Anolis sagrei: one gene and its partners. The protein of the gene in region 3 binds, or shares a complex with, the protein of the main gene of each other region. Links are inferred from orthologs where the notes say so. Each region holds a gene or a part of one and is shown on either strand. Other genes may lie near its edges.

Region 1 (7,237 bases), on a different chromosome or scaffold from region 3:
TTCTCTTATGTAAGTCTTTTAAATATAGCTAGTTTTAAAATGGTAATAGCCTCCTATCTGTTTTTGATGGGTTTTCTTACAAGTTGCCTTCAGCAGAATAGCATAGCCAGTCTGTTCCTTGACTTATTTTAGCAGTCTTCCTGGAATTCTAGGTTGAGGCACAGTCAAAGTACATAATAACAGAAGTTCAGGCCTTCAGGCCTGAATTTTACTCATGTCTAATCATTATTTCTTTTTTTGAAAGTAAGGTTCTAGTTATGGAATCATCTAGTTTAATCTGCTACCAGTGGAAGCCTACATTTTGGTGTAGCTGACTCTTGCACATGTGTGCAGGGTGTGTTTATTTGTTTGTTTGCTTCTATTTTGTTTTCCCTAAGGGATTGTGCAAAACACATTTCAATCAAGAATTAATCTGAAAGCTGATTCCTTTAAAAATGCATTTCAGGGCATTATCACATTGAGAGAACAATACTTAGGGATATTTCCAGTGCAAATGGAATGATTTGTCTACATTGCAGAAATGGCACTTTAGCATATACTTCCTTCACAGAATTCTAAACTTCATTGAATCTCATCAATAATTATGTTCTTGTTATCTCCATTTTCCCCAATTGGGTTTCATATAGTAAATGGGTGTTCATGCAACCTTTAGGTTTTCACAAACTTCCACAAGGGCATTCTGATTTTTTCCTCCAATCCCTAAACACACTTTTTAAAAAGCAATCCAATTTGATCTGGATGGGTCTTACTTCCATGCTAAATGTATCCAGGGTTGTAGCCTCAGTACCTTTAGAAAAGCAGTAAGTAAAAACTCGACTTCAGTAGTCATTGTCTTCAGGAGCTAATCAGATACTTTTGGTAGTAAGTCAGTAATTGATATTCCCTGTTTATTGCAGTGTCTTAACATGCTTCTGAACACGGAGGATTTTGTTAACTGCTCCAGTTAATAGCCATTGCTATCAGCGCCTATATATGTACATCTCCTAGAGTCAATGGACCTATTCTAATTAGGAGTAGCCATTGGATTTAGACTTTTAGGTTTGAATTTTAAACATATTCTTAAGCACCACATACATGCAGTAACTTGAATAAATTAGGTTTGCCTATATATTATTTAAAGATTAAAATGCATAGACAAAGCTGTGTTCATTTGGAATATATGTATGCAAAGGGATTTTGAAGCACTTTAGAGACTGTGAGAATGATGTTGGTAGCATAAGCCCTTGTACAGAAAATCTTGCATCTGAAAAAGTAGCTTAGTCTGTGGAAGCTCAGGTTAACAAATTCATTCTCAGTTATTCTGTAGGGTGCTTCAAGATTCTTTTGCATAATAAAGAATTAAAGAGCAGCTGAAGTTAAGTCTTACTTTAACAAGTTAGTATGCAAGCATGCAAGTCAGGATCCCACTCATATAAGCATGAGTATTAGCCACTCACATAAAAATAAAAATTAAGTAAAGGATGACCCCGGTATCCACAGAGGATTTGTTCCAAGACCCCATGGATGCCTGACACTGGATAACTACAAACCCTATATTTTGACTATACTCAGGCTGGTAGCGTACCATGGAACCACACTGGAATATCTAGAGAGGCCCACAAACATTTCTGGGGATGGGAGTCATGTTTTTGAAGTGTGGGTAAGTGACTTTTAAATCCATGGATAAGAGGGTTGTAAGGGAATCAAGGTAGTTTTAACTAAATATGAAAGCAGCTTAGTTCCCTCTGAGAAATGAAGAACAAAGTAATGTCTAGTCATTGTTTTTGGAATCTATTCCACACATTTGAATTTTCAACATCTTGCCCTGCTTTATACAGATTGAATATGCATTTTGATATATTTGTATTTTCAAAGTGAACTATGGCTACAATCCTAAGTATACTTATCTGGAAGTGGGGCCCACTAAATGTTATATGCTTCAAAATGAGGGTTTTAGGGTTGGGATGTAAGGCTGATGGCACTTACAAAACACAGCAACATTTTAAAAGGCAAAGAAAAACACCAATATTAACAGCTTATATGCTTGGGATCATGTTTGTAATGCTGTTAACATTCTGTAGTCCATTTCCAACTGGAGCTCAGAAAATGTATTGAAGATCTTGTCTTGTTTAGAAAAAAAATCTTGTTTAAAAGCATGATCTGTTTGCAACTTTTATAATGTTTAATGTTGTGTAATTTTCCCTTTTTTTTAAAAAAAAAAAAGGCACAATTCAAAAATTTATTTGTTTACTCTGTCACCATTGAGCCCAAGCATTTCTATTCAGATACAAACTCATCAATGTATGCAACATCCTTTGTAATTGAAAATAAATTGTGAAGAGAAGTTCTGACATTATGGTGACTTTCGTGTGTTTTATGTCTGAAATACTTAGATCTTAAGTTGTAAAGTAAATGCGTTTGTTACAAAACATATACAGTATATAGAAGCAACCGAAGTGTCAGCCCTGATTATTAAAATCCACCATTCTTTCATTAAGAAATATAGACCAAAAATAAATAAATGACTGAGATAATGGAATAGAAGGCATGCTTACCAAATGACACCAAATTGAGAGGGATCTCTAATATCCCAGCGGACAGGATCAGAATCCAAAATGACCTAGACAGATTAGAGAGCTGGGCCAAAACTAACAAAATGGATTTCAACAGGGAGAAATGTAAGGGAATACGTACATTTAGACAGAAACAATGAAATGCACAGATATAGGATGGGTGACACTTGCCTTGATAAAAGTTCGCCTGAAAGTAATTTAGAAGTTAGTAAACCATAAGCTAAATATGCAGCAGCTAAAAAGGCCAATGTAATTCTATGTTACATCAATAAGAGTATAGTGTAAAATTCCAAGGAAGTCAAAGTCCCACTCTATTCTACTTTACCCAGACCTCGCCTGGAGTCCTGTGTCCAGCTCTGGGCACCACAATTTAAGAGAGATATTGACAAGCTGGGATATGTCCTGAGGAGAGCCAAACTGATCCAAGGTCTGAAAGCCTAGCCCTATGAATAGTGGCTTGAGCAGTTAGATACGTTTAAGATTGAGATGACAGCCACGTACAAATATTTGAAAAGATGTCATATTGAAGAGGAAGAAGTCTTGTTTTCTACTATTTCGGAAAAGATATGGAAAAACAATCACACTGCAGGAAAAGAGATTCCACTTAAACATTAGGGAAATTTTCCTAAAAGTAAAAGCTGTTTGACAGGGGAAATTCCTTTTTTGGGGCTTTTTAGACAGAGACTGAACAGTCATCTGTTAGGAGTGTTCTGAGTATAATTCATGGACTCCATGGTCCTTGGGGTCTCTTCCAACTCTAGTTCCATGCAATGTTACCAACCTAAGTCTGTGCTGACTAAAGTTTTAGTATTTTGACACCTATATGGATCTATCTGTAGATTATGTGGCGTAATGAAAATCACGTTTTACCAGTCCACACGCTGACTTGCCAGAGAAAGAAAAATATGTCATTCAGATGATCAGTGAAGAACAAGGAGTTTACTCTTTGTAATGCAGAGCAACATATATACAGTCATGTGAACAGTTGCATTGACTCTCACAATGTCCTTTTAGAGAAATTAAAATGGTTTTTCGCTGTCCAAATGGAAAAACATCTTCCAGCAGTTCATGAAGCAAGAACTGTCTCTCTATCTGGGCAAGCTCTTGCACAGCTCAAGCCTTAAAATGTAACTGTTGCCAAAACTCTCAGGCTCAGCTAGCTCCCCCAACCAGTCAGCTTGGTGTTTTGCATTTTCACAAACACCAACGGATTTTTTTTTACATGCCCCAACAGATTACAACTTAAACCTGTAAGGCAAGGAGGGGGAAGTCTATATACATTTTGAAATTCTTGAATAAATATTACTTGGATCACCAGCTGAGAATCCCTCTGTAGCAAAGTAACAGAGCAAAAGGTTTTAATTCAAACTCTGAATTAAGCCAACAGAAATGCAGCCATAAGAACAAGAATATAATATATTCATCCACCCTCTCCTACCCTTGTTTCAGCTGGAAAAAGACTAAACATCAGATAAAGAACCACATCCCAACAGGATGTGACACTGTTGACATGCAAAACATCAAGAGAGATTGAGCCTTAGGAGTGGCCTCTCCCCCTGTCAATCACGCAGCTTTGGAGAGCCCGCCTCCTCCTCCTCCTCCTCCTCCTCCTCCTCCTGGCGCCGCCTTCAGGGCGGAGCAGAGAAAGCGCGCTTCGAAACGCCCCCGCGCCCCCTTTCGCTCGCCGTAGTTCGTTCCAAGATGGCGGCTGCCGCTGACGTGCCGGTCCGCGTCTGCAACCAGGAGATTGTCAAATTCGACCTGGAGATTAAAGCGGCGGTGCAGGTAAAGCCTTTCCCCACCTCTCACGGACCGAGGGCGTTTCGTACCTGTGCCTGTTATTCCTCGGAAGAGCTCTGATCAGGGCACTTCTCCTGACAGCCCTTTCCCTTGAAGGAAATGACGCCTGTTGTATGTTCTGCCTCTCCCTTTCCTTAAGCGGTCCCTCATAGCTCGAGGATGATGGCCCTCCAAGTGAAATGTCTTGGCGGTGGGGCCCTAAGTGGCTGTGGAGCCCTGTTCTTGATCCACATATTCTACCACAGGTTTTGGGGGGGGGAGGGATTCGTGTCAGGAGCGACTTGAGAAACTGCAAGTTACTTCTGGCGTGAGAGAATTGGCCGTCTGCAAGGACGTTGCCCAGAGGATGCCCGGGTGTTTTGATGTTTTGCCATCCTTGTGGGAGGCTTCCCTCATGTCCCCGCATAGGGAGCTGAAGCTGAGAGAGGGAGCTCATCTGCGCTTTCCCCAGATTTGAACCTCCGACCTGTAGGTCATCAGTCATGTGGGCACAAGTTTTTAACCCACTGCGCCACTGCGGGCTCCTTCTCCCAGTGAAGACATTGGTTTCCAAGTGGTTTCCGCAGTGAGGACATTGGTTTCCAAGGCCTCTCCAAGCCCTTTCAGACGTCTGTCATGCCATGTTGCTGTTGTTGTTGTTGTTGCTGCTGTACTCATTAGTACTCCTTTTTCTCTCAGGATGGAGAACAGCGCACAGCCCTACAATTCTACTCACAGAAACCACTTTTTTGAGGAAAGTTTTTAGAACCATATTGATCATAATTTCCAAGAATGGTTTTCCTCCCCAAAAAGCGCCAGCCAGCATTATAACGAATGTTTTTATTTGTTATTAACTAAGCGATTTAGAAGCCTTCAAAATGGAAATATTAAAATAGAATTAAGTGTTACCGTTATTAAACTATTAAGTTAAAGTCTCATTCAAGCTTATTAACAAAGTATTAAAAACAATTCAGACACTATACTCTTTATTATTATTTGAGATTTGTTGGCAAAGGGGGTTGCCCTTGCCTTCCTCTGAGGCTTAGAGAGTGTGAATGGCCCAGAGTTGCTCAGTGGGCTTCCACAGCCTAGTGGGGATTCGAACCCTGGTCTCCAGAGGTCAAGCCAATCCTCAAACCTCTGTCAGGAGGGCTTTGGCCTATTCCCCTGCAGAAGGTCCATCCTGTGGCTCTGATGGTAAGAGGCCTCCGCACAGATAACTAAAGACAGGGCAGTCAGTGATAGGATTCCAGTTCTCCACTTTTTGTGCAGTTATGGTTCTTGCTCACGATTCTTCTCATTGATCAAGGGTCTGGAGAACAAGTCTGTAAGGAGAGGTTTAAAGAGCTCGGCATGTTTAGATTGCTGAAGAGAAGGCTGAGAGGAGATGTAGAAATATGTGAGAGGAAGTCATAGGGAGGAGGGAGCAAGCTTGTTTTCTGCTGCCCTGGAGACTAGGACGCAGAGCAATGGTTTAAAACTACAGGGAAGGGGATTACACCTGAACATTAGGAAGAACTTCCTAACTGTGAAAGCTGTTCAAGAGTGGAACTCTATGCCCCAGAGTGTGGTGGAAACTCTTTCATTGGAGGCTTTTAAACAGAGGCAGGATAGCCATCTGTCAGGAGGGCGTTGAATGTGATTTTCCTGCTTCTTGGCAGGGGATTGGACTAGAAGGCCCATGAGGTCTCTCTCTATAATTCATTCATTTCCATGGCTAGCAAACAAGCACACAAGGTTGCCATTGTGGCTTTGTAGTGTAGGAATTGGACTAGTCTTAGTCTTAATGGCGCTGAATCAATTAAATCTAGTTCACATACTACTAATCATAGTTCGTTATTCTTCTAGTAAAATACAGCAATTTACTTTGTGTTTCTGTGAAAGGGGTTTCTTAACATTTGGGACTAGTTTTCACAAAGTCTGTGGATCTGATTACACTTTGCAATTGATTTGAGGTTGCTAACTTTAAAAATATAAATAAATAGTTTATATTTGTTATTTAGTTAACTCATTACTTTTTAAATGTCCCACTGGTTTAGTGCCTCTTTTCCCTGAGATGCCTGTAGCATTTTAAATGCAAGTATATTGGAACTGGCATGATTGAGTGATTGTGCATACCTTGCCACTTCTCAGTTAATTCTACATTATGTCTGGGGTTCTATTATCAACAGTGTTCACCATCATGCCTAATTCATGATGGTGGTTCAGCCAGAAGACTGAGGACCCTTCCACACAACCCTATATTCTAGAATATCTGCTTCAAACTGGGTTATCTAAGTCCACACCTAGATAATGTGGCATTCAGCAATGTCTGAGTGCTTAGCCACAGTGTATAACATTACATTGCTCGTAAAGCATCATTACATTACATAACAATATGATAGAAGCAAGTGACTATATGATTTTTCTTTGACTTGTTTATTTTAGGATATCCGAGATTGCATGGGGCCTATAAGTACACTTACGGAACTCAATGCCAAAGTGAAGGAAAAATTTCACCATTTACGACTTAGAATCCAGGTGAGGAATGGTGACAAACCATGGGGAAATGTGTAAATAAGGCTTGTAGGCTCATTGTAGTTTTTACCAGCCTACTGGAGGCTGGCAAAGGAGGACGAAATGTCTAGCACTCCTGCAGCAGCTTTCTGCATTTTTATGCTGGGCATGGAGGAGGTGCTTTTCATGGGGATCTCCTAAACTTGCTCATATTTAGAAATAACACCATAGTATGCAGTTGTTTTATATAGTGGCATAGTTGTCTGGGCTCTAGATCCTTTTAGCTTGCTAAAGATAGCTGGTTCACCAAAGAAAGGAGCCCAAGCTACACTAATAATTTAAGCTTCTAGGATTCTACCATTTGAAAAGATGAATTATATGGAATACATACTCCTAAAGACTATTAACCT
Region 2 (7,376 bases), on a different chromosome or scaffold from region 3:
TGGGTCATCTGTTGAGATGCTTTGAATGTGATTTTCCTGCTACTTGGCAGGGGGTTGGTCTAGATGGCCCACGAGGTCTCTTCCAACTCAATCATTCTATGATTCTATGATCAACACTTTTGCATAAATTGGTACATATTCTGTAATTTGGTAATAGACTGAGCTTCCCTTATCCAAAATGTCTGAGGCTACAGTGTTTTGGATCCCCCCCCCCCCCCCCCAGATTTTGGGATATTTGCATATACATTTGATTAAGACATATATTAAGATGGGCCCAAAATCTAAACACCTAATTCATTTATACTTTATAGCAGGCATGGGCCAACTCCAGCACTCCAGGTATTTTGGACTTCAACTCCCACAATTCCTAACAGCCTACCAGCTGCTAGGAATTGTAGGAATTGAAATCCAAAACACCTGAAGGGCTGAAGATTGCCCATGCCTGCCTTATAAACATAGCTTGAAGATAATGTCACACATATTTTAAATCTGTTTGAAGTCTGTGTGCATTGAACTACCAAAAAGCAGAGATGCCAGTCTCTTGGCCATCTATTTTCAAATTTGGAGTATTTCAGAATTTCAGGTAAGAGATGCAACTCAGCAGGTGTATTTCCCCTATAGGGGTCAATATAAACATTGTTGAGTGCACTAGCAGAAACAGATATTCAGAAATTATTTAATATTTTACACAAGTCAAGCCTGGACTTGTTATGAACAAAAATGTAGGTCTGGAATCAGACCTGGGATGACAATAATAATAATAATAATAATAATAATAATAATAATAATGGGCTGTTGTAGGTTTTTTGGGCTGTGAGGTTAAGGATGCTTGCCACAGATGCAGGCAAAACGTCAGGAGGGAATGCTTCTAAAACATGGCCATACAGCTGAAAAACCTACAACAACCCAGTGATTCCAGCCATGAAAGCCTTCAACAATACAACAACAACAACAACAACAACAACAACAATAATAGCTTTATTTGTATTCCTAGAGAACTCAGGGCAGATTCCAACAACAGAAGGAAAACAAAACATTTAATGCCTATACAATAAGAATAACAAATACAAATGCATTAACAAACCGCCCAAATCCCAAAAAAGTGAATGTATATCACTTTAAAATGCACATAAATCAAGTTTACAACCACATATCAAATTAAACAAACAACTCACTTAAAATTAATTTAAATTATATCTAATATGAAAATATAACTCTGGCATCACAAAGAATTCACAAGAATCAATAATGTATTTAATTATTTACCCTATTTATATCATCTTTCTCTACCCCAAGGGGGATTGAAGGCAGCCAACATATGGTAATTATTCAATGCTTTAAACACATATTATTTATTTATTTGCAAAGGGGACTCAGAGCCACTTACAAGATATATATACATAAAATATATTGTATTATTAGCAAAGTACAATATCAATATTAAATATTACTTTATTGTACTATACCATTATACTGTAATATGATTAGTAATATTACATGTAATATAAATATATAATTATAATATATTATTATTAGTATTATATTGCAATACATTATAATATTATAAATATTATATGTATATACAATATTAAAATATTACTATATTGTACTATACCATTATATTGTAATATTATTAGTAATGTTACATGTAATATAAATATATAATTATAATATCATATTATTAATAGTAGTATTATATTGCATTACATTATAATATTATAAATATTATATGTATATACAATATGTTACATTATATTACATTATTAGCATAGCATAGGAGACATACAAACATTAAGCTTAAAATCCACTGAATTAAAATGAATACATAATTTAAAAATTTAAAAAATTACATTCAGCATTAAAATCACGCCATCCATAACATCTACACCGTAGAAATAATGCAGTTTGACACCACTTTAGCTGTAGTTTTATAAGGCTTCCTCTGCCTGGGAGTGCTGGTGCCTCATCAAACTACAACTCTCATGTTCCAGAGCATTGAGTGATGGCATTTAAGGTGGTGTCAAGCTGGATTTCTTCTAAAGTGTACGCGCATCCAAGGTTTCATTTAGCCAAGCCTTGTTTACATCCTCCAAAAACCCATTGGATTCCAGTCTTGCCCAGATATCTACCTACCTTTACAAAAGGGGAGTGGTTAGGAAACATTTCCCAATCTGGTTTCCTTAATCCAAGATACAAAGTGACATATTATGATCATCGTGATTGGGATCATATCAGTATGCAACCCTCCTCCCAGCAAGCCCAGCCACCCCATTTATTGGGGAACCCAAGGGAACCCCAGGAAGGGGAAGGGCGGCTTGTACCTTCCTTTGCAGCCGAGCTGCTTGTGGTGGGAAGTCAGTCTCTTCGCCTCATTCCCTGCTGCTGCCTCCTCCTTCCTTCCTTCCCCCAGGACAAGAAAGGGAAGCCAAAAGGAAGGAAAGGCAGCCAAGAGGGGGCGCCAGTTGCCGGAGGACACCAGCACTCTTTGGCAGAGGATGCTAAAGTCTGGGTTGCTGTGAGTTTTCCGGGCTGTAGGACCCATGTTCCAGCAGCATTCTCTCCTGACGTTCCCTCTGCATCTATGGCAGGCATCCTCAAGGGTTGTGGGGTCTGCTGGAAATTAGGAAAATGGGGTTTATATATCTGTGGATACTCCAGAGTGAGAGAAAGAACTCTTGTCTGCGTGAGGCAAAGCAGCCAGGCTTTGAAGCTGCAAGGCTATTCGATGCTAATCAAGCTGGCCAATTGCAACATTCACACTTGCATCAAAAAACGAGAGGAAACTAGGAAAATAGGGTTTCTGTGGAATGTCCAAGGTGGGAGAAAGAACTCTTGTCTGCTTGGGGCAAGTGTGAGGCAAAGCAGCCAGGCTTTGAAGCTGCAAGGCTATTTGATGCTAAACAAGCTGGCCAATTGCAACACTCACACTTGCCTCAAACGGACAAGAGGAAACTAGGAAAATTGAGTTTCTGTGGTATGTCCAAGGTGTGAGAAAGAACTCTTGTCTGCTTGGGGCAAGTGTGAGGCAAAGCAGCCAGGCTTTGAAGCTGCAAGACTATTCGATGCTAATCAAGATGGCCAATTGCAACATTCACCCTTGCCTCAAACAGACAAGAGGAAACTAGAAAAATGAGGTTTCTGTGGGATGTCCAAAGTGGGAGAAAGAACTCTTGTCTGCTTGAGGCATGTGTGAAGCAAAGCAGCTAGGCTTTGAAGCTACAAGGCTATTCAATGCTAATGAAGATGGCCAATTGCAACATTCACCCTTGCCTCAAACAGATAAGAGGAAACTAGGAAAATGGGGTTTCTGTGGAATATCCAGGGTGGAAGGTGGGAGAAAGAACTCTTGTCTGCTTTGTGTGAGGCAAAGCAGCCAGGCTTTGAAGCTGCAAGGCTATTCGATGCTAATCAAGCTGGCCAATTGCAACATTCACACTTGCCTCAAATGGACAAGAGGAAACTAGGAAAATGGGGTTTCTGTGGAATGTCCAGGGTGGGAGAAAGAACTCTTGTCTGCGTGAGGCAAAGCAGCTAGGCTTTGAAACTGCAAGGCTATTTGATGCTAATCGAGCTGGCCAATTGCAACATTCACACTTGGCTCAAACAGACAAGAGGAAACTAGGAAAATGGGGTTTATGTGGAATGTCCAAAGTGGGAGAAAAAACGTTTCAATGTTTCAATGGACTACCTTGGTTAGTATTCAGTGGCCTAGCTGTTTCAAGGTCTGGCTTCATACTGCCTGGGGGAATCCTTTGTTGGGAGGTGATTAGCTGGTCCTGATTGTTTCTTGTCTCCAGACAAGAAACTCCCCTGTTTTTGAGTGTTGTTCTTCATTTACAGTGCTGATTTTGTTAGGTACTGTTAGGAATTGTGGGAGTTGAAGTCCAAAACACCTGGAGGGCCCAAGTTGGCCCATGCCTGGTAGATGCACTCCAAGACAGGCAGGACAGAAGATATTTAGAGGGGGGGGGGGAAGAAACCAGATTTGTGTAAGGACAGAAGAGAAACCAAGAAACTTGGTTCCCCCTTTTTATAGTTTATTTTTTTTGTAATTAATTTGCCAAGAATGGGGCTGGACTGGATAGCCTCTAGGGTTCCCTTCCAGCTCTATCATTCTGTAAACCTTACAGAGGCAGCAACCTACGTCACAAACAGGGGCGGGGCCAATGCTCTTGGATGCCCGAGGCGGAGAATCCAAAGGGCAGCCACTTCCTGTTCCTGCCCTCAAGAAACATGGCGGCCCATTCCCACTCAGGGAGCATGCCCTCTGGAAAAATGGCGGTCTAAGCCGCACTCTTCCGCTCTCGGGGGAGGCGCTTATCCAATCCCCGCCCCACGGCCTCCTTGCCCTCTTCCCTGATTGGTTCGTTTGCAGATCGATTGCCCTCCTTGGCACCGCCTCTCGCCTTGGCTCCGGATGGGACACGGAGGCAAGAGGCAGCCATGGCGGATTGGGGCCGAGGTAGGAAGGGAGGGAGGGAGCGGTGTCTGAGGGGAGGCGGTAGGCCTCGGAGGGAGGAGGAGAGTGGGCGCCCTTCGTTCTGCCCTAGTTAAGCCTTCCCTTTGTTTTGGGGAGAGGGCCCTCCTTCCCGTTGAAGCAGGCCTGGGCAAACTTGGGCCCTCCAGGTGTTTTGGGCTTCAACTCCCACCATTCCTAACAGCCTGTAGGGCCGAAGGTGGCCCAGGCCTGCTTTAAATGGTTCTCCCCCCACGTCTCCTTTGTTTTCTTTCACAGAAATGCCCTTTGACAGCTGAAATAGTGAGTCAGGCACAGTATTGCCCATCTTAACTCCATAGCATTGAGTCATGGCAGTTGAATCTGTTTCAAACTGCATTAGTTCACAAGTGTAGACCCACTGAATAAAAAGAAAAGGAATTATTCATGCCGGAAATTCTTGAGACCAGAAGTATTTTGGATTGTGGCATATTCACCTATATTAAATTAGGTATCCTAGAGATAGGACTCAAAAGCTAAACAGGACATTCATTTGCTTCATTTGTATATATGTGTATATATGTTATTATACATTATTATTTGATACACAAAAAGATTAGTGCACAGCAAGCAAGAACGCTGTGCTGGCTTTTGTATTTGATTACACTTCAGACACATCCCAAGTATCTGTGTGATGTATTAGGAAATAATGTATGCAGAACCAGGTAGGGTGGCCTATTGCAACTGACAAATGGTAATATTGTAGGCGCCGACTGTTTTTAAGTGCAGGCCAAGGTATTTAGGCACTGTACCCAGTGTGCCGATCACCACTGGGACCACCTTTACTGGCTTGTGCCAGAGTCTTTGCATTCATTTATGATACATTATCATCATCATCATCATCATCATCATCATCATCATCATTAAGGAGCCCCCGGTGGCGCAGTGGGTTAAACCCCCCCTCCCCGTGCCGGCAGGACTGAAGACCGACAGGTCGCAGGTTCGAATCTGGGGAGAGGCGGATGAGCTCCCTCTGTCAGCTCTAGCTCCTCATGCGGGGACATGAGAGAAGCCTCCCACAAGGATGATAAAAACATCAAAATCATCCAGGCATCCCCTGGGCAACATCCTTGCAGACAGCCAATTCTCTCACAACAGAAGGTACTTGCTCCTGACACGACAAAAAAAAATCATGTTTATTTATACCCCATTTTATCTCTCCGAAGGCAACTAAAAGTGGCTTGACATTAACACATCAGCATAACCATTTAAAATATACAAGTATTGTTGTTGTTGCTATTATTACTTATATTACTTATATTATTACTTGTTACTTATAATATATTATTACTTTATCTCCCCAAAGGTGACTAAAAGCAGCTTGACATAAAAGCATCAGCATAATCTTTTACAAATATACAATTAGTATTATTATTATTATTGTGGTTATGTTTGTTTATACCCTGCTTTATCTCCCTTGAAGGCAGCTCAAAGCAACTCAATATAAAAGCATCAGCATAAACATTTACAAATATACAAACATTAAAACAGGATTAAATATAAACAGTATTCAAAAACTTTGCTTAATTTGTTGAGTCACTGGCTTATTTATTTATTGTTTATTCCTATCCTTACAATCAAAAGGAAGGCTACAAGTTAAGAATAACTTTACATAGCCTAAGAGTCCTTTCATAAACAGTTTTAAAGAATTTCAGGCATGCAGCAAAGTTCGTATATACTGATCCATCAGAAAGCAAATGTCTTGCTACTTTCTTATTTCAGTGGACTTCTGTCCTTCCCCAAAATGTTTGGGATGGCTGTGTTTTGGATTTTTTCAGATTCTAAAATCCTTGCCTATCAGTAATGAGACATCATGGAGATGTGACACCCACAACATTCATTTATGATTCATACATGCATATATAGCCTCAAGGTTGTTTTATATACAAAGATTTTTTTTAAAATAATTTTGTGCGTGAAACCAGGTTGGACATATTGAACCCTTAGAAAAAACAAAGATGTTACTTTCTCAGCCATTGTGCTGAGATTGGATTTGGGGATTTATGAATAAGGGATATTCCAACCCTGTATTTCCATTATTGGTTTCTCCATTTGTTCTGCTTTCATTTTGGGTGGTTATGTGTGGAAACTGATTTTTTTTAATACTGTTACATTTAATTCTGTTTTAATATTTGCATATTTTTATATTTAAAATTATGTGGTCATACTTTTAATGTAAGCCACTTTGAGTCTCCTTTGGGAGAGATAAAGCGGGGTATTGGTGAGGAGGAGGAGGAGGAGGAGGAGGAGGAGGAGGAGAAGAAGAAGAAGAGCAATAATAATAGTAATAGTAATAATGGTGGTTACATGGGGTTAAGCAAAGTTCTCCAATTATGGATCCTGGCTGGACAGCAGTAGAAAAAGAGTGTGGCATTAAAGAATATAAAATGGTTATATGAGACACTGTTTTTATTGAAATGCATGTAAACTACCAGCATGACTTTCTATGACGGCAATGGGAATTTTTCCACATACTGGGGAAAATGCTGTGTTCTGTGGCTGTGAATACAGAGCAAGAATCCATTAGCACATGCACCATGTCTATACAGAGCATGAATCCATTAGCAGTAGCAGCCATGTCTACATCATGTTGCAGTGAGTTTCACAGTTAAACTTTGAAACTCACTGCAACATGATGTAGACATGGCTGCTACTGGAATGGCTTGAAAGAGGGTTTCCATATATTCAAAGAGGGAGGAGCCATCAATGGCTGCTACTTTGGGTTGCCGTGTGTCCATCGCTGGGGCTTGTGAGATGGAGTTGTACTCAGGTCTTGCTGGTGGTTTCTGCTGCATGTGGTCCTTTGACTTCATCTATTGTGAATTTCCTTATTCCTGTAAAAATACTGCAAAGTATGGCACTTTGCTTCTGAAACTGGGTC
Region 3 (7,365 bases):
TTGGGTTAGGGTAAGGGGAGCTCTGGCGTGGGCTGGTCCATGAGGTCACGAGGAGTCGGAGATGACTGAACGAATGAACAACAAGGGGTTAGGTTTACGGTGCGGTTCAGGGTTGGGGTAAGGATTAGGGTTTCACCGTTAAAGAACTCTTAGAATCCTTCTATATTATCTGTCTCCGGCCTGGCTTACATTAGCTTAGTCTATGTTGCGATGCAGCATCTCCATAACACTCGGAGCTTCCGCAACCAGCTATCATACTATTACCCTTGGGCCCTCCCGGTGTTTTGAACTTCAACTCCCACAATTTCTAGCAGCCTCAGGCCCCTTCCTTTTGCCCGTCAGCTGCAGCTGCAGGAAAAGGAAGGCGCCTGAGGCTGCTATTTTTTATTTATTTATTTACGACATTTATATGCCGCCCTTCTCACCCCGAAGGGGACTCAGAGCAGCTAACAAGATATATATACATACAATATATTATATTATTAGCATAGTACAATATCAGTATTATATATTACTATATACTATTGTACTATACCATTATATTGTAATATTAGTAATATTACATGTAATATAAAATATATAATTATAATACAGGGTTAGTCAAAATGCATAGGCCAATAAGCCATTCAATTGAATGGCTTATTGGCCTATGCATTTTGACTAACCCTGTATATGATTATTAGTACTATATTGTATTACATTACAATATTATAAATATATATACAGGGTGAGGCAGCATAACTTCCTTTTTTAAAATGCAGTTAAAAATGTAGCGGAGCGAGAGGCGGGAGCAAGCCTGAACCCCTAACCCCCCCCCCCAAAAAATTTTCAGGTAAAAAAAAACTTGGTTTACTCATTAATTTTAACTGGTTAACCAAATCCCCATGCTAAGTCTATGAGACGCAAAAAATTAAGAGTCCCTCCAGAACTGCAAGCACTATCTCAAACAAATATCGACAATTTATTCACACTGTCATTAGCTGATGTAGCGCAGCAACCAAGTTGGGGGGGGGGGGTGTTGAATGCTCTCATTAAGGAGGCCAGACTTGGTGGAGGTGGTTGACAGGGGCAGAGCTGCAGGCTATTGAAAGCTGCTCTGCCCCTGCTGTGCTCTTTGCTTCAGCGTGAGCTAGGAGGCAGGTTTCAACCCCCCCCCCCCCCCTGAAATTTTCTGGGTACGGCCCTGGGCGGGTATAAAGTTTTGTCCTGACACAATTCATTCGCCATCATGCATTGGAACAGTGAGGAGCGTGATTTTGCCGTTGAGGCCTACTTTTCGAGCGGATTTGGAGTGGCTGGCCTGCTCTCCAGATTTGGCCCCTTGTGATTTTTTTCTATGGGTTTTTTTGAAATCCCGTGTTTATGTGAACCGTCCAAGGACCCTACAATATTTCAAGACCAACATCCAGGAAGAAATTGCCAACGTAACTCCTGCTACGCTGGCAAGAGTAATGACAAACGCCAGAAATCGGTTTACTCAGTGTATGGAGAATGGGGGACGTCACCTACCTAATTTGATTTTCAAAACTACGTGAAACAAAACTTTAGGTATGCGCCTACATTATGAAAAAAAATTCTGATTCAAATTCTGTTATTATATAAAAAATTCAATAAAAATTATTATTTAAAAAATTCTGATTCATACAATGAGTTTTATTAAGTTTTAAAAAAGAAAGTTATGCTGCTGCACCCTGTATTCCATGAAATATAAATATATAATTATAATGCCATATTATTATTATTAGTAGTAGTAGTAGTAGTATTATATTGCATTACATATTAACCTCACTTTCCTAGTATCCAACAGACCCCTCAACCTCGGAGGATTGAAAAAAGGAAATTATGCTGCCTCACCTTGTATCTACAATACATTATATGACATTATATTATAAGCATAGCACAGGAGATAAGGTGGAACTGTCCCCTGGCCCCCCTCTCTTCACTCTTTATGTTAGGAATTGTTCTGGAACAGCTGTTCCAAGAGCTCCAATTTTGTTTGCTTTGTTATAGTCCCAAGTTTCAGGGACTCTGCAGATAGGTGGCTTCTTTTGGCTGCAATCATAGGGCAAGCCACCTGTCAATTATAGTTAGGTTCCCTGGTCCCGCCCCCTTTTTGGGGTTTTGGAGGGAATAGGAGCCTTTTTGGTTCAGTCCACACAGAGAAGCCTTTCACAGGACAGAATACCAAGAGCTCCTGTAGAAAGCTTCGTCTTCTACAGCTTGGCTGGGAGATATACAGCTTTACGTCTTGGCCGGGGAGATATACAGCCTACAGCTTGGCCGGGGAGAAAAGGCCTCACAGCTTGGCTGAGGATTTTACAGCCTTACAGCTCCTTTGCTGAAGGACTTCAGCCAGCCATAACTGAAACCTGAACTCCTTTTTCCCTGGAAGTCTACAAAGCTCTTCTTGGTAAGGGTCACTCGCGGAAGCCAGACGCAGTTGGTACCAGGTGTAAGGGCTCCACGCCAACAGAGGCAAAGAAACACTGCCCAGATTAGAAGTTAAGGATTTCCCCATTAGATAAAATACGTCATGAAGATAGTGCCTATTCCCTGTGGACAAGATTGAAAGAGCCAATAGACTGTTAAGAAAGCCTTGAAATACCTGTTTGTTTTCATTAATAAAGAACATTGTTGAACCTTTAAGCAATCTAAAGACTCTGTTTGGGGGAATCCAAGGGCCTTTAATCTGAGGCAGCCCCGGCGTCCCGTTGGGCACACGGAATTTATGTCCTGTCTACAGTCTTATGCACAGGCCCAGCATGCGACAGCACACCCCTCAACCTTGGAGGATTGAAAAAAGGAAGTTATGCTGCCTCACCTTGTATATACAATATATTATATATTGTATTATTATATTACATTATATTACATTATATACAATATATTATATACAATTATATACAATATATTATATTACATAAGCATAGAACAGGAGACAAGGTGGAACTGACCCCTGCCCCCCCCCCCCCCTTCACTCTTCATGTTAGGAATTGTGGAAGTTCAACAGTTCAACAGTGACAAATGCAAGATACTCCACTTTGGCAGGAAAAACGAAATGGGGGATGCCTGGCTTGAGAGCAATACGTGTGAAAAAGATCTTGGAGTCCTCGTGGACAACAAGTTAAACATGAGCCAACAATGTGATGTGGGGGCAAAAAAACCCAATGGGATTTTGGCCTGCATTAATAGGAGCATAGTGTCTAGGTCCAGGGAAGTAATGCTACCCCTCTATTCTGCTTTGGTTAGACCACACCTGGAATATTGTGTCCAATTCTGGGCACCACAATTCAAGAGAGATATTGACAAGCTGGAATGTGTCCAGAGGAGGGCGACTAAAATGATCAAGGGTCTGGAGAACAAGCCCTATGAGGAGCGGCTTAAGGAGCTGGGCATGTTTAGCCTGAAGAAGAGAAGGCTGAGAGGAGATATGATGTTGTTGTTGTTGTTCATTTGTTCAGTCGTCTCCGACTCGTGACCTCATGGACCAGTCCACGCCAGAGCTCCCTGTCGGCCGTCACCACCCCCAGCTCCTTCAAGGTCAGTCCAGTCACTTCAAGTGACTGGGAGATATGATAGCCATGTATAAATATGTGAGAGGAAGCCACAGGGAGGAGGGAGCAAGCTTGTTTTCTGCTTCCCTGGAGACTAGGACGTGGAACAATGGCTTCAAACTACAAGAGAGGAGATTCCATCTGAACACGAGGAAGAACTTCCTGAGTGTGAGAGCCGTTCAGCAGTGGAACTCTCTGCCCCGGAGTGTGGTGGAGGCTCCTTCTTTGGAAGCTTTTAAACAGAGGCTGGATGGTCATCTGTCAGGGGTGATTTGAATGCAATATTCCTGCTTCTTGGCAGGGGGTTGGACTGGATGGCCCATGAGGTCTCTTCCAACTCTTTGATTCTATAAGTTCAAAGGACTTGGAGGGCCCAAGTTTGCTCTATGCCTGTCCTATGGCACTCATTACCGATGAATTAAAAAAAAGACATCCGGTGGAGTGACAACATCCGGCAGCGGACATATTGCAGATGAGCTTTCAATGTATACGCCTGACGTCACTTCCTGTTTTTAAACCCTAAAATAATTACTCCATTGAAGCAACTTCTTAATGTGAAAGGTGGGGGGGAAAATTGATTGAGGATCGTTTCCGTAATAGCATAAACACACGGCTTTGGAGTCTTTTAACGCCTCCGGGCCGCACCTCATCTTCCCGTCGACTGTGAGGAAAAAGAGGAACTGGCTTCTCCAGAGGCGAAAATGGCACAGCGCATGCGCACTACGGAGATGTCCTGTCTATAGCTCCGGGAGGAGGGCGGAGCGAGGAGCGCCAAACAGATTTGAGAACAGAGCGCGCGCATGCGCAGCCTTGTGCTCTCCCTTCTAGTTCCAACCCCTCCCCCTTCACTCCGCTTCCTCACAGAGTTGTGAGAAAAAAAAAAAAAGAAGATGAGGGACCGAACGCACGAGCTCAGAGAGGTAAGGAGCACATCACCCCCTCCCCCTCCCCCCCGCAATCCGCACGCGCGCCCTCTTTCTCCCCCGCGCGCCTGGCCACGCCCACAACGGTCGCTGAGGCCCCGCCTCTCTTGGTGGCGCGAGGGGACTCCGCTCTTCCGTTCATCCCCCCCTTCCCCCTCCGTATATTTCTGCTTCGTTGGCTGTTCCTGTCACACTCCCTCCGTTGGGAGGAGGGGGTGTTCTGTTTTCCTCCATCTTTTTTTGGCCCTTATTTCTGCCTCTTTTTCATCCTCCCATGACAATAGTGTTGCTTTCCTGGGCTTCCCCTTTCTTTTTTTTTAGTGCCTAACAAAGTTGTAACCCCTAAAGTAACCTAAATATAATAAACTAGCTGTGCCCTGCCACGCGTTGCTGTGGCCTATAGTAAAACTTATCAAAGTTGAGGTAGATATCTGGACTATTATGAAAGAGAGGTCCCTACCTATTCCTTCCCCCTTTTCCTCCCCCTTTCTCTCCTTTCTTCCTTCTCTACCTCTTTCTTTCTTTCACTACTTGGTTTCATCCTTCTCTTTCCTTCATTCCCTCCCCCTTTCTTCCTTTGCCTTTCTTCCCTCCCTATTTGCTTCCTTCTTTCACTTTTTATTTCCTTTTATTTTACCACCATCATAACAATAACAATAATGCAATGCATTGCCTCTGGGACCTGACACCTCTCCCATTCCCCTAGGGTCTCATAGGAACAATAGCATAATAATAATAATAATAATAATAATAGTAATAATAATAATAGAAATGTGGCCAATCTTCCCTCTTTCTCTCCTTCTTTCCCTCCTTCCTTCCTTCCCTCCCATCTTTCCTTCTCCTCTTCTTTCTCTATCTCTTTCCTTCCTTCCCCGTTTCTTTCTTTTCTGCTGTCTCTCTTTTCTTTCCTTCCATCTTTCCTTTTCTTTCCTTTTCTTCTTCCTTCTTTCTCTAACTTTCCTTCCTTCCCCCTTTTTCTTTACCTCCCTTTCTCTTTCTTCCTTCTTTCCTTCCTTCCTGTCTTTCCTAGATTTTGACAGGGCAGGAAGGGGCGGGGTGGGGTTTGGAGGTGGTGTGAAGTAAAAGGAGGTAAGATTGGGGCGGGGGAGTGATGGAGCATGGGGTTGCGTGTGTGTGTGTGGCGGCTGGGGGAGTGATGGAGCGTGGGGTTGCGTGTGTGTGTGCGGCGGCGGGGGAAGTGGGGTTGCGTGTGTGCGTGCGGCGGCGGGGGGAGTGATGGAGCGTGGGGTTGCGTGTGTGTGTGCGGTGGCGGGGGGAGTGGGGTTGCGTGTGTGCGTGCGGCAGCGGGGGGAGTGATGGAGTGTGGGGTTGCGCGTGTGTGTGCGGCGGCGGGGGGAGTGGGGTTGCGTGTGTGTGTGCGGCGGCGGGGGGAGTGATGGAGTGTGGGGTTGTGTGTGTGTGTGCGGCAGGGGGTGTGTGTGTGCGGGAAGCGGCGCGGCGGGGCTTGGAGTGGGCAGAGGGAACGTTGGCCGGAAGGCCATGTGCACGCGCCAGGGAACTTGCGGCTGGGCGCCAATGTGCATGCTCAGTTGTTTTGCCGTTTTGTGAGTGTGTTGTTGTGTTGTTTTTCATTTTGAGTAGATATGTTTGTACCTTGTGGGTTGTGTTATGAGCATGGGAATTTTGGTTAAGTTTCGTTGGGGTTTTTTTGAGTTTTATTCTTTTGCCGTTTTGTGAGTGTGTTGTTGTGTTGTTTTTCATTTTGAGTAGATATGTTTGTACCTTGTGGGTTGTGTTATGGGCATGGGAATTTTGGTTAAGTTTCGTTGGGGGAATTTTGAGTTTTGTTGTTTTGCCGTTTTGTGAGTGTGTTGTTGTCTTGTTTTTCATTTTGAGTAGGTATGTTTGTACCTTGTGGGTTGTGTTATGGGCATGGGAATTTTGGTTAAGTTTTGTTGGGGGTTTTTTGAGTTTCGTTCTTTTGCCGTTTTGTGAGTGTGTTGTTGTTTTGTTTTTCATTTTGAGTAGATATGTTTGTACCTTGTGGGTTGTGTTATGGGCACGGGAATTTTGGTTAAGTTTCGTTGGGGGATTTTTGAGTTTTGTTGTTTTGCCGTTTTGTGAGTGTGTTGTTGTGTTGTTTTTCATTTTGAGTAGATATGTTTGTACCTTGTGGGTTGTGTTATGGGCATGGGAATTTTGGTTAAGTTTCGTTGGGGGTTTTTTGAGTTTTGTTTCTCCGTTGGATGCCCCTAACAAATTTATATATATAGATGTAAATGATCTATATTTAGTCTTGAGTTGAAGTCTCTCCTCATGAAATGTAGCCACAAAAATGGAAGGAAAGGAGGTGGTTGTGAATCTATATAAATAATGTCATGTTAGTTTGTGGGGTTAACATAACTCAAACAACACAGGGTGGATTGACACCAAATTTTGACACCAAATTTGTATTAATTAATTAATATATTAAAAATGTAATGTAGTTTGTGGGATTAACATTACTCAAAAAACACTGGGCGGATTGACACCAAATTTGTATAATTAATTAATCTATAAAAATAAAAATGTAATGGTAGTTTGTGGGATTAACATAACTCAAAAAAACACTGGGCGGATTGACACCAAATTTGTATTATTAATTAATTAATCTATAAAATATAAAAATGTAATGTAGTTTGTGGGATTAACATAACTCAAAAAACACCGGGCAAATTGACACCAAATTTGTATTATTAATTGATCTATAAAAATAAAAATGTAATGGTAGTTTGTGGGATTAACATAACTCAAAAAACACTGGGCGAATTGACACCAAATTTGTATTATTAATTAATCTATAAAAAATAAAAATGTAATGGTAGTTTGTGGGATTAACATAACTCAAAAAACACTGGGCGAATTGACACCAAATTTGTATAATTAAT

What was found. The genes of interacting proteins can lie anywhere in the genome.
Region 1: STX4 (region 3) and BNIP1 share a complex: the UniProt entries of both Homo sapiens proteins name them as parts of the SNARE complex. The link is inferred for Anolis sagrei from reciprocal best matches to the Homo sapiens genes STX4 and BNIP1.
Region 2: STX4 (region 3) and BET1L share a complex: the UniProt entries of both Homo sapiens proteins name them as parts of the SNARE complex. The link is inferred for Anolis sagrei from reciprocal best matches to the Homo sapiens genes STX4 and BET1L.

The regions. Positions count from the first base shown.
Region 1 is NC_090022.1:100,712,801-100,720,037, reverse strand, and holds the start of BNIP1 (vesicle transport protein SEC20), read left to right. Parts: upstream 1-4,219; 5' UTR 4,220-4,253; coding exon 4,254-4,337; intron 4,338-6,758; coding exon 6,759-6,851; intron 6,852-7,237. UniProt on the Homo sapiens protein: As part of a SNARE complex may be involved in endoplasmic reticulum membranes fusion and be required for the maintenance of endoplasmic reticulum organization. Also plays a role in apoptosis.
Region 2 is NC_090021.1:237,756,781-237,764,156, reverse strand, and holds the start of BET1L (BET1-like protein), read left to right. Parts: upstream 1-4,358; 5' UTR 4,359-4,443; coding exon 4,444-4,462; intron 4,463-7,376. UniProt on the Homo sapiens protein: Vesicle SNARE required for targeting and fusion of retrograde transport vesicles with the Golgi complex. Required for the integrity of the Golgi complex.
Region 3 is NC_090026.1:14,722,681-14,730,045, forward strand, and holds the start of STX4 (syntaxin-4), read left to right. Parts: upstream 1-4,341; 5' UTR 4,342-4,444; coding exon 4,445-4,474; intron 4,475-7,365. UniProt on the Homo sapiens protein: Plasma membrane t-SNARE that mediates docking of transport vesicles. Necessary for the translocation of SLC2A4 from intracellular vesicles to the plasma membrane.